Linked DNA regions of Danio rerio. The protein of the gene in region 2 purifies or fractionates together with the protein of the main gene of each other region. This does not show direct contact. Links are inferred from orthologs where the notes say so. Each region holds a gene or a part of one and is shown on either strand. Other genes may lie near its edges. The genes, in order: sod1 and rnf19a.

Region 1 (4,543 bases), on a different chromosome or scaffold from region 2:
CATGCCATGACATCACATTCGCTGCGTGATAACAGTTCGTTATTGAGTTCAATAACAGTAGGCTGATTGGCTGTTGCATGTTGGTCTCATTTGTAGTTTTTATACCGCATTTTATACCACATTTGGACTATTGAAATAAACAACTACAACACCACAAAAACCAAGCAACAACAAAAAATAATTTAAATGAGCATTAGATGTAGTGTTACATGGACATGGGAAAAATAAGACCGGTGCAAAAATATTTAAGACCTAGAACAGCAAATTAAAGATTTTTTTAAGGCCTAAAATTTCGATTTTTAAGTTTGAGACTTTAAGACCCTGCGGAAACCCTGTATTCGATGTTCTGTCTTCTGACACCACACATGCCTAAATTGAGATACAGGCCCATGCGACAAATGCAGATCAACTTTTAAACAAACAGGATTTAAGTAAATGGGACAACTTTGAGGGCAAGTAGAGTTTCTGCTTTCAGTGACAATCCGTACAGACAATAAATATTAGCATTTTACTATATATAGATACTGTAAATCATGCAAAACAGATGTATCAGAGCACACTGATAAACTCACCTCACACTATCGGTTGGCCCACCATGAGTTTTGTCATGAGGGTTGAAGTGCGGACCTGCACTGATGCAGCCTGTGATCAAGAGCAAAAAATAAATAAAAATAGCACAAGTGTGATTTGTGGCCCTTTAAACGCATTAAGTGCTTACACTATGAAAGTATGTAAGTGGAGAATTTAAAAACTTTTCAGAGCTGTTTACTCCTTCACTTTGGATTCAGAACCAGGTAAAAAATGGAGTCTAATGGTTTTAGGTCAAGGTTATTGGTCCTGATGGGATGAACTTGTACTTTAATGCAGTGTTTCTCAACCATGTTCCTGGAGCTGATGATCTGAATCAGGTGTGTTTGGTTAAGGAGACATGGAAAATATGCAGAACTGATGATCCTCCTGGAACGTGGTTGAAAAACACTGCTTTAATGAATGGAGTGGCATACCCTGACACCCCGTTTACACCTGAAATTATGATGCATTTTGCTCACAAGGAGGTTGTTTACACCTGGGATCTCATTTAATAGGGTGGTGAATGCACAAAATGGGGGGAGAAATGAAGCGATATAAATCATCATGTGGGCCATAATAATCGCTAAATGTTCAGTTTGACCACTCCTTACCGTTTGTGTTGTCACCAAAAGCATGGACGTGGAAACCATGTTTTCCTGGAGTAAGGCCAGTAATTTCACCAGTCACCTTGACTGGCTTCTTTTCACCCTAAAACATACAGATCCATTGTGTGGTTAACAACGGTTTCATATCACTTCAGAAAACATGGTTTCATATCATTTCACAAAACAAAAGCGCAGTTAACCAAGTTATGCTTGGCTGCAAAACACATCATACAGACAATTTGTTTCCAAATGTACACCTGGAATGCACTGCATGTTTATCTCAACACGGAATCAAAAGTGACAATATGCTTATTTTGCTTTCTTGCAATGTCACTTATTTTATGAGAGGTTTATCAATACAAGTCATAAATCACCCAAGCTCAACTAATAGAAAACCACAACATTCAAATCAATTCATGGAAAAAAAAAAATTTTTTACTCTTCAACCTTTGTCCTCGTTACAGACATTTTACTCAGATATACATTAAAATATGGAAGAAAAGATCATGAAACTTGTTTTAATAGATTTGAGTAATAAAAAAAATAAATTTAAAAAATCAAAACATGCCTCGATGACATATTGAATACTTGATTGAGGTAAAGTTGGTTTTACATCCGCACATTCATTCAGTGAAAACTTATGAAATACCCCCTATATTTTTATATTTTTTTACTTTCAATATTTGGTATGAACGCAAGTTTAACTTTAAAACAACATTAGCACAAATAGTTTGATAGTGAACAATGTTGTACTTTGAAAGTGATTATATGATTTACTATTTAGAATTTTAATTGATTTTCTTTGGTGAAATTATATTATTAAGGAGAAAGACTGAATATGCAAATATACAACTAACTTTACCTCAACAGATACTTGAAGCGCTGCTGGATAAAATACAGAAGAACTTCACAATTTAAACATTAAATTATTATAGGGAAGGCTAAAGACAAATTAAAACAATATAACGAGATTTGGGACTAACACAAACAGTAAATAGCGCTTAACAGCAAGTAAATGTGTATTCAGATGCCACACCAATACAGTAATAAGCTCTATCAGCATTTAAAGCGTGCTGTGATCTCTGTCCTATTTGGCAAAATTATGACTGCAAACAGAGATAGAGGAGCATGAGTCAGCAAACCTTTCCCCTTGTAGTAAATTCTTAAGACTTTCGATAAAGTAAATACCTCAAGAACCTACAGGCAACCTACGCTACAAAGTCTCAATATCAAACTCAAACGCATGGCGGTTCAAGGTTTGCATGTAAGTTAACGTCTGCTATTGAGGAAGCATATGCGTTAATTAGTTTGCGCGTGCATGGGGGGGCGTAGACCTGCCATCTTATCAAAGGTCATTTCTGAGCTGCTTTCAGCGGTTTATTATGGGATGCGACATTGCACAAAATATTAGTAATAGGATGTACAACTCAACATTGTGTTTTTAAACATGTTCGGTCATTTATATTTGCATTGCATTCGCACAGCAAATTCCGTGCAATTGCATGCTACTCTATCATCATGCATACGTAAAAATATGACAACAGACGTCTTCAATCTCGATCATGGAGTGCGTAGTAGTTTCATGCTAGCTCGACGCGCGCGCTGCTCTCCTGCTACATGAACGTCATTTCAAATATGGATCAAAACAGACATTTTTTACCTCTTGATTGAAATAGACGGTGCCGGTCACTTCACCGGTGCCTTTAAGCACACAAACGGCCTTGTTCACCATGCTGACTGTAGATTATGCAAACTGAGAAGTTGTGAGAGAGTGAAAGAAACCGACTGTGTTTGATAAGAGGAGGCACGTGAGCGGAATCGACCAATGAGGAGGCAGAAAAGAGCGGTGGATGCTGATTGGTTCAAAGTCTGGCGTGTCACGGTGTCATAAGGTATCGTTTTGAATGAACTTGTGGAACCAGTTACTTTAGTTATTTTATTAGTTATATAAACTGACACTGAAAGTAAACTCTTGTCACTTTTCTTGCCATTTTAATTACATTTACGACACGGCGGCTTAATGGTTAACACTGTCGCCTCACAGCATGAAGATTGCTGGTTCGAGTTACAGCTAGCTTAGTTGGCATTTCTATGTAGAGTTTGCATGTACTCCATGTGTTGGCGTGGCTTTCCTCCGGTTGCTTCGGTTTCCCCTACATGACAAAGACATGCACTATAGGTAAATTGTATTAACTAAATTGGCCATAGTGTATGTGTGAATGAGTGTGTTTGGTTGTTTCCCAGTACTGAAACAGCATCCGCTTAGTAATAAAATATGCTGAATAAGTTTCTGTCTCGTTCCATTGTGGCCACCCCTGATGAATAAAGGGACTACCCCGAAGAAAAATGAATGAATGAAGTTTCTGAATAACATCCTTTTCTTGCTCAATGCAAGTCACTTTGAAAAAAAAAAGTAAGAGTAAAAGTTAAACCAGTTAAACTTAGATTTTCAGACAATAAAAGAAGTTATAACAATATCTTTCTCATTATTTGTTACAGTATAAATATTTCTGATCATAAAGTGGTTTCAATAAGAATGTACATCACATGTATTATTTTGGCTACCTATGTGGTACATTCAAAGGTACAGGACACCCAAATATGAAGATTCTGTCATTTACTTACCTTCCACCTGTTGCAAACCTGTTTGAATTTCTTCTGTTTAACGATCTTCGAAGAATGTTAGAAACCGGTGGGCATTGAATTTTATGTAATTGGTCCCTACTATGGATATATAAGGCTACCAGTTTCCAGTATTCTTTAAAATATCTATACTCATGTGCTTTACATCAGACAAAAAGCTCACACATTGATTGAACCACTTGAAGTTGAGTGAATAGTTAGTACATATAGTTATTTGGCTCAAATTACACAGTCCTATAGTATTATTCTTTAAAAAAGGAATATATCAAAACCATGTTTGTCACTTTGACCTTGGCATTTGGTCACATGCATCCTCAAATTCTACAGTCATGCCCTATTCATATACATATACTGTAGACATCCTATTCAAACCATTACAAATGGTTTTGGTACAGTGTCACATGATAACTACCACAAATCATAATAAAACTGGTTAAATATAGTTAAAAGCTCAGAAAAAGCTCAGTTTTTTTATTCATGATTAGTTTTAAATGCACGACTAGAATAAATGTTAAAAACAAGTTGCATAAACCAGTTCATTCATTTGGTATGAAAATATTTTATTAAAACCACCTCCTGTCGCTGAAATATTTGGAGTTCCTATCTCCAAAAACTTAAAAATGATAAAAACATCTTGTGTCGTTTTTTTTTTTTTTTTTTTTGAATGTTGTAAACATTAAGTTAAAAACATTACAGCAAAAGGGTCTTAATGTCATATTTTAGTC
Region 2 (4,546 bases):
ATTGGTAGACACTGAAGTAAGCCTGTCCCAATTACTAATCATCCAAATACAGTTATTTGATCTAATCACAATTATTTTCAGTTCACCATGACAAAAGTGCAGCTTAAAGTCATCACATTTTGCTAATTAAAAGAAATGTAAACATTTTGGCCATTGAAGAATGCAAATGAGTAATTCCATTGTTATTAATGTGACATTTGCAGTAAAAGTTCAAAACATAACTCTAATAGAAATTATGTTAACATTATATTAAAACATCCGTTTATAATATCCAAAACAAACAACCACAGAATTATAAGATCAGAACAATATGAATCTGTAAAAAATTTTTATATTTTAAATAAGGAAAATAAACGCGTTGTGGATGTAACCAAAAAAAGTCTGAGTTTACAGTATACAAAACACGTAGAATTTTTAATTAAACTGCACAATTCAAAAGAAATACTGCTAATCAAAATAATAAGAGTTGGCTTACTATAGATCCAAAAATGTTCATTTTTATTTTTTATATTTATGAGGAAAAGGCTTGGTTATGGATGTGACAGATGTGGAAAATCAAATATAATTGTTTGAAAACATTAAGAGGACTTTGAGCATTTTTACAGTACTGTAAAATACAAGCCTAAGCAAAAAATGTAAAAAGGGTTTCACTGTTTTGGTAAAATCTTTATTTTTTATGGGAAAATTGACATTTGCATGGAATTACTGTTATTTAGCATGTATGGCCTTTTAATTAGGTTTCCAAGTAAAACAACAAATATTAGCAAAGGTATTTGGCTTACAAGTCAGTGAGATCAGCAAAAAAAAAAAAAAAAAAAAAAAAAACACTTTAAATCATTTACAATCATAATTGTTTGTTTTAAATATTACAGTTTATGTATTTTTATTGGGTTTTCATGGATCCAGTGTACATATAACGTCGACCACAAAGTTTAAGAAAAAGAGAATTATATAAATATGATTAAAATATGGGCGACGCAGTGGTGCAATAGGTCATGCTGTCGCCTCACAGCAAGAAGGTCGCTGGTTTGAGCCTCAGCTGGGTCAGTTGGCGTTTCTGTGTGGAGTTTGCATCTTCTCCCTGCGTTCGCATGGGTTTTCTCCGGGTGCTCCGGTTTCCCCCACAGTCCAAAGACATGCGCTACAGGTGAATTGGGTAGGCTAAATTGTCCGTAGTGTATGAGTGTGAGTGAGTGTGTGTGTGTGGATGTTTTCCAGAGATGGGTTGCAGCTGGAAGGGCATCCGCTGCGTAAAAACGTGCTGGATAAGTTGGCGGTTTATTCCGCTGTGGCAACCCCGGATTAATAAAGGGACTAATCCGAAAATAAAATAAATGAATGATTAAAATATTTTGTACAGCATTAAATATGGGCCAACTGAACAATCTTTTCAAACAAATATAGACAGAAATCATGTACTAGGCTTACACTTTATGTGACATCAGAAAAACATAATTAAATCCTTCATCCTAATTATTCATTCATATAACATTTTACTCAGGTTTGATGAGGAAGTGAAAATTTAAAGCAGACCAAAATTAAAGCCGAACAAACAGGTTTATTCAACGCATTAACGAAAAGCAAACGGGCCAACTTAAACAAATGATAAGATGAGCAAAGCAAAACAATTACAACGTTAATCAAAACTATCTGTCTGAGGATTCAAAACAAAGCAAAAAACAGAGAATTCACGATCCTCTCTTGAGGCCTGTGCTGAAGATAAGCTGCTTCCATGCAGGATTTACATCAAATGCTGATCCAATATTTCACCACTACCCAAAATGATCAAAACAGACGCCACTTCATTTTTGTGATGGGTCACTATATTCACTCCCAACTCATTTCTTTACCTAAAACCTCAAATAGTGACTAATATGTGGAAGTGGTTGCTAAACCAATATTTTTCACCTCTAGACCAAGTTTCCATAGATCTGAAATTAAGTCACACCACTTCCAGCTAAGTTTGAACATCAGAGCCTAGTTAGTACATTTTCACTATTACTACAAAACACACTCTCGAAGAAGTTTGAGACAATCTTCATACTAAATCACCCTTTGAACTCAGACTGTATGACATAAGACTGGCATTTGGCAACATGGGCAAATCCTTATTTTCAACTAAACACTCTCGATTCTACGTAAGTGTACTTGTTCAAACATGTTAGTCATTACAGGAAACAAACCAATTAAATATACATTTAAAAAAGACGTTTCACAATGTCAATACAAACTAAAATACTACGAAAATTTCATTTGTGATCCATAACTTAGTCAAATTAGGCGTGCAATCTGTTGCTAAATAAACCTCCCTAAGCCTTCAACAATAACGTTAGCTGGAAAACACCTTATCGATGTTATAATGGAGATCAAAGGTTCGTGTCGTTTTACCTCAGCGATGAAGCTGGGTATTTGTTTCTTTTTCCACAGACTTCCTGGTTACAGAGGTGTGAATTTAAACTTAACAGAAACAAATGGACAATGCGATAGCTGGCTACATGCCTACGGAAGGTCCATCTAATGTCGGACTCACCACAGGCCCTTTAAAGCGATTTTACTTCCCTACACGCCAGCTAGCGGGCGTACAACCCAAAATATGCGGTTATTAGTTGTATTGGGACAACCGTGGGACTCGTCTTTAAGAAATAAAGCTGTAAAATGTGGGCTTTCTCGTTCGCCAGCGAGAGTAAATCTGAAAGCGAACACACGACCGTTAGCCAAGCCGTCAAACTAGCCTTTTATAGCAACGAGAACAACAGCGACTCACCTTTCAAGTCATCCGCGTAAAAGCATTTCATTACAGGCAACAAATAAAGGTGAAAAACTCCGAGTGTGGTGTTGGAAGGCGGCTACTTTTGGGAGTTGTTTTGTCGGGCTGAAGTCGGGCCGTCCTGTGTGTCCCGTCCTCCGCTCGCTCTTTCGCTCGTACTGACTCACTGGCATCCGTCTCGCTCGCTTCTCACATATCAGTTCAAACTCTACTCTCGCGAGAGTCGGCGCGCGCATTCCTCAAAGCTAGAATAATTAAAGAGAACAGACGGAAGGCAGATTTTCCTGTGATGGTTTCAAAACCTAGTTTTACCATACTTTTACATGAAACAGTTTCTGTACATTTATTTTTCACACATAAATAGCTATTCTTCGATAAACCGCTTATATCAGAGATTTATATATTTAAAAATGATAATTTAATTCAAATATAGCCTAATTTCAGTTGAACTATGGCAGACATGTAACGTACATCGTGTTTATAAGCACACGTTTATAAAAAATGGCATTTTTCTTTCTCTTTATGCAATTTTCGGTTTATTTATTCATTTATTTCATTAATAAATATTTTATTTTATAAGGATCAAGGTTAATTCTGTTAATGAAAAAAGAATAGAAGAACTGAATCAGTCAGTTTTGTTTTGTGCATGTTTTTGAAAAACAAAAATAAAGCTAAATTAAGAAAATGTGTTCCTACTGAGATAAATCAGTAGTCCCTTTATTAATCAGGGGTCACCACAATACAATGAACCGCCAACTTATCCAGCATATATTTTATCCAGTGGATGCTCTTCAAGCTGCAACCCAGTACTGGGAAACACCCATAGACACTCATTCACACACAAACACTATACAGACAATATAGCCTACCCAATTCATGTCTTTGGACTGTGGGGGAAACCGGAGCACCTGGAGGAAACCCACGCAAACATGGGGAGAACATGCAAACTCCACACAGAAATGCAACTTGACCCAGCCGAGGTTCTAACCAGCGACCTACTTTCTGTGAGGTGAAAGCGCTACCCACTGTGCCACCGCGCCACCCCCTTAGTATTATCTTTATTATTATTAGTTTAATTTAGTAATTAACCTATGCTTTACGTTAAGCATCACAATAATTTCTAGTACTTTCTGGAAAATCCTCTTCTCAAGTCTGTTTATTAAAGTATTAAAAATGATGCCACACAGTATCACAAATAACAAGTGTGATAGAATTCTTTGATAAATTGTGTTAAATTGTTCTTGGATATCTAAATAAAAGATATCTAACTTAGGTGCAAAAATTATCCAGAAACAATTTTACAGGTTAATTTCCCAACCTAGGAATTGGCTCTAATATGACATTCGGCTGGTTTTGACCATATTTGGAAGGGTCATAAATATTAATAAAGTCTACTCTGCTCCTAAACATTTCATGTCAAGGACTGAAGCTCTCTCTATCACACACACACAAACACACACATACTCAATGAGAGAGAGAAAAGAGACACAGCACAATGTACTCTAAAATACCAACCTGATCTCACGAGGAAACCAACTTTTGTCAGTTTAGTGGCTAATTGTCAAATGAAAATGTACCATTTTAAAAAGGAGGTGTGGCACCAAACCCCGCCCCTAAACCCAACCGTCACTGGGGGATGAGCAAATTGTACTAAATTGTATGAATAGTACCAATTCATATTAATCAAAAAATTATGAAGTTAAGTTATATGTACAGTTGAAGTCAGAATTATTAGCCCCCCTTTGAATTTTATTTTATTTTTTAAATATTTCCCAAAAG

What was found.
Region 1: the proteins of rnf19a (region 2) and sod1 purify together in Homo sapiens (affinity purification with western blotting, with the first as the bait; 3 studies listed by BioGRID). This does not show direct contact. The link is inferred for Danio rerio from reciprocal best matches to the Homo sapiens genes RNF19A and SOD1.

Annotation. Positions count from the first base shown.
Region 1 is NC_133185.1:30,634,499-30,639,041, forward strand, and holds the start of sod1 (superoxide dismutase [Cu-Zn]), read right to left. Parts: upstream 2,976-4,543; 5' UTR 2,908-2,975; coding exon 2,836-2,907; intron 1,279-2,835; coding exon 1,182-1,278; intron 643-1,181; coding exon 573-642; intron 1-572. UniProt on the Homo sapiens protein: Destroys radicals which are normally produced within the cells and which are toxic to biological systems.
Region 2 is NC_133194.1:13,180,090-13,184,635, forward strand, and holds the start of rnf19a (E3 ubiquitin-protein ligase RNF19A), read right to left. Parts: upstream 2,971-4,546; 5' UTR 2,796-2,970; coding exon 2,765-2,795; intron 1-2,764. UniProt on the Homo sapiens protein: E3 ubiquitin-protein ligase which accepts ubiquitin from E2 ubiquitin-conjugating enzymes UBE2L3 and UBE2L6 in the form of a thioester and then directly transfers the ubiquitin to targeted substrates, such as SNCAIP or CASR.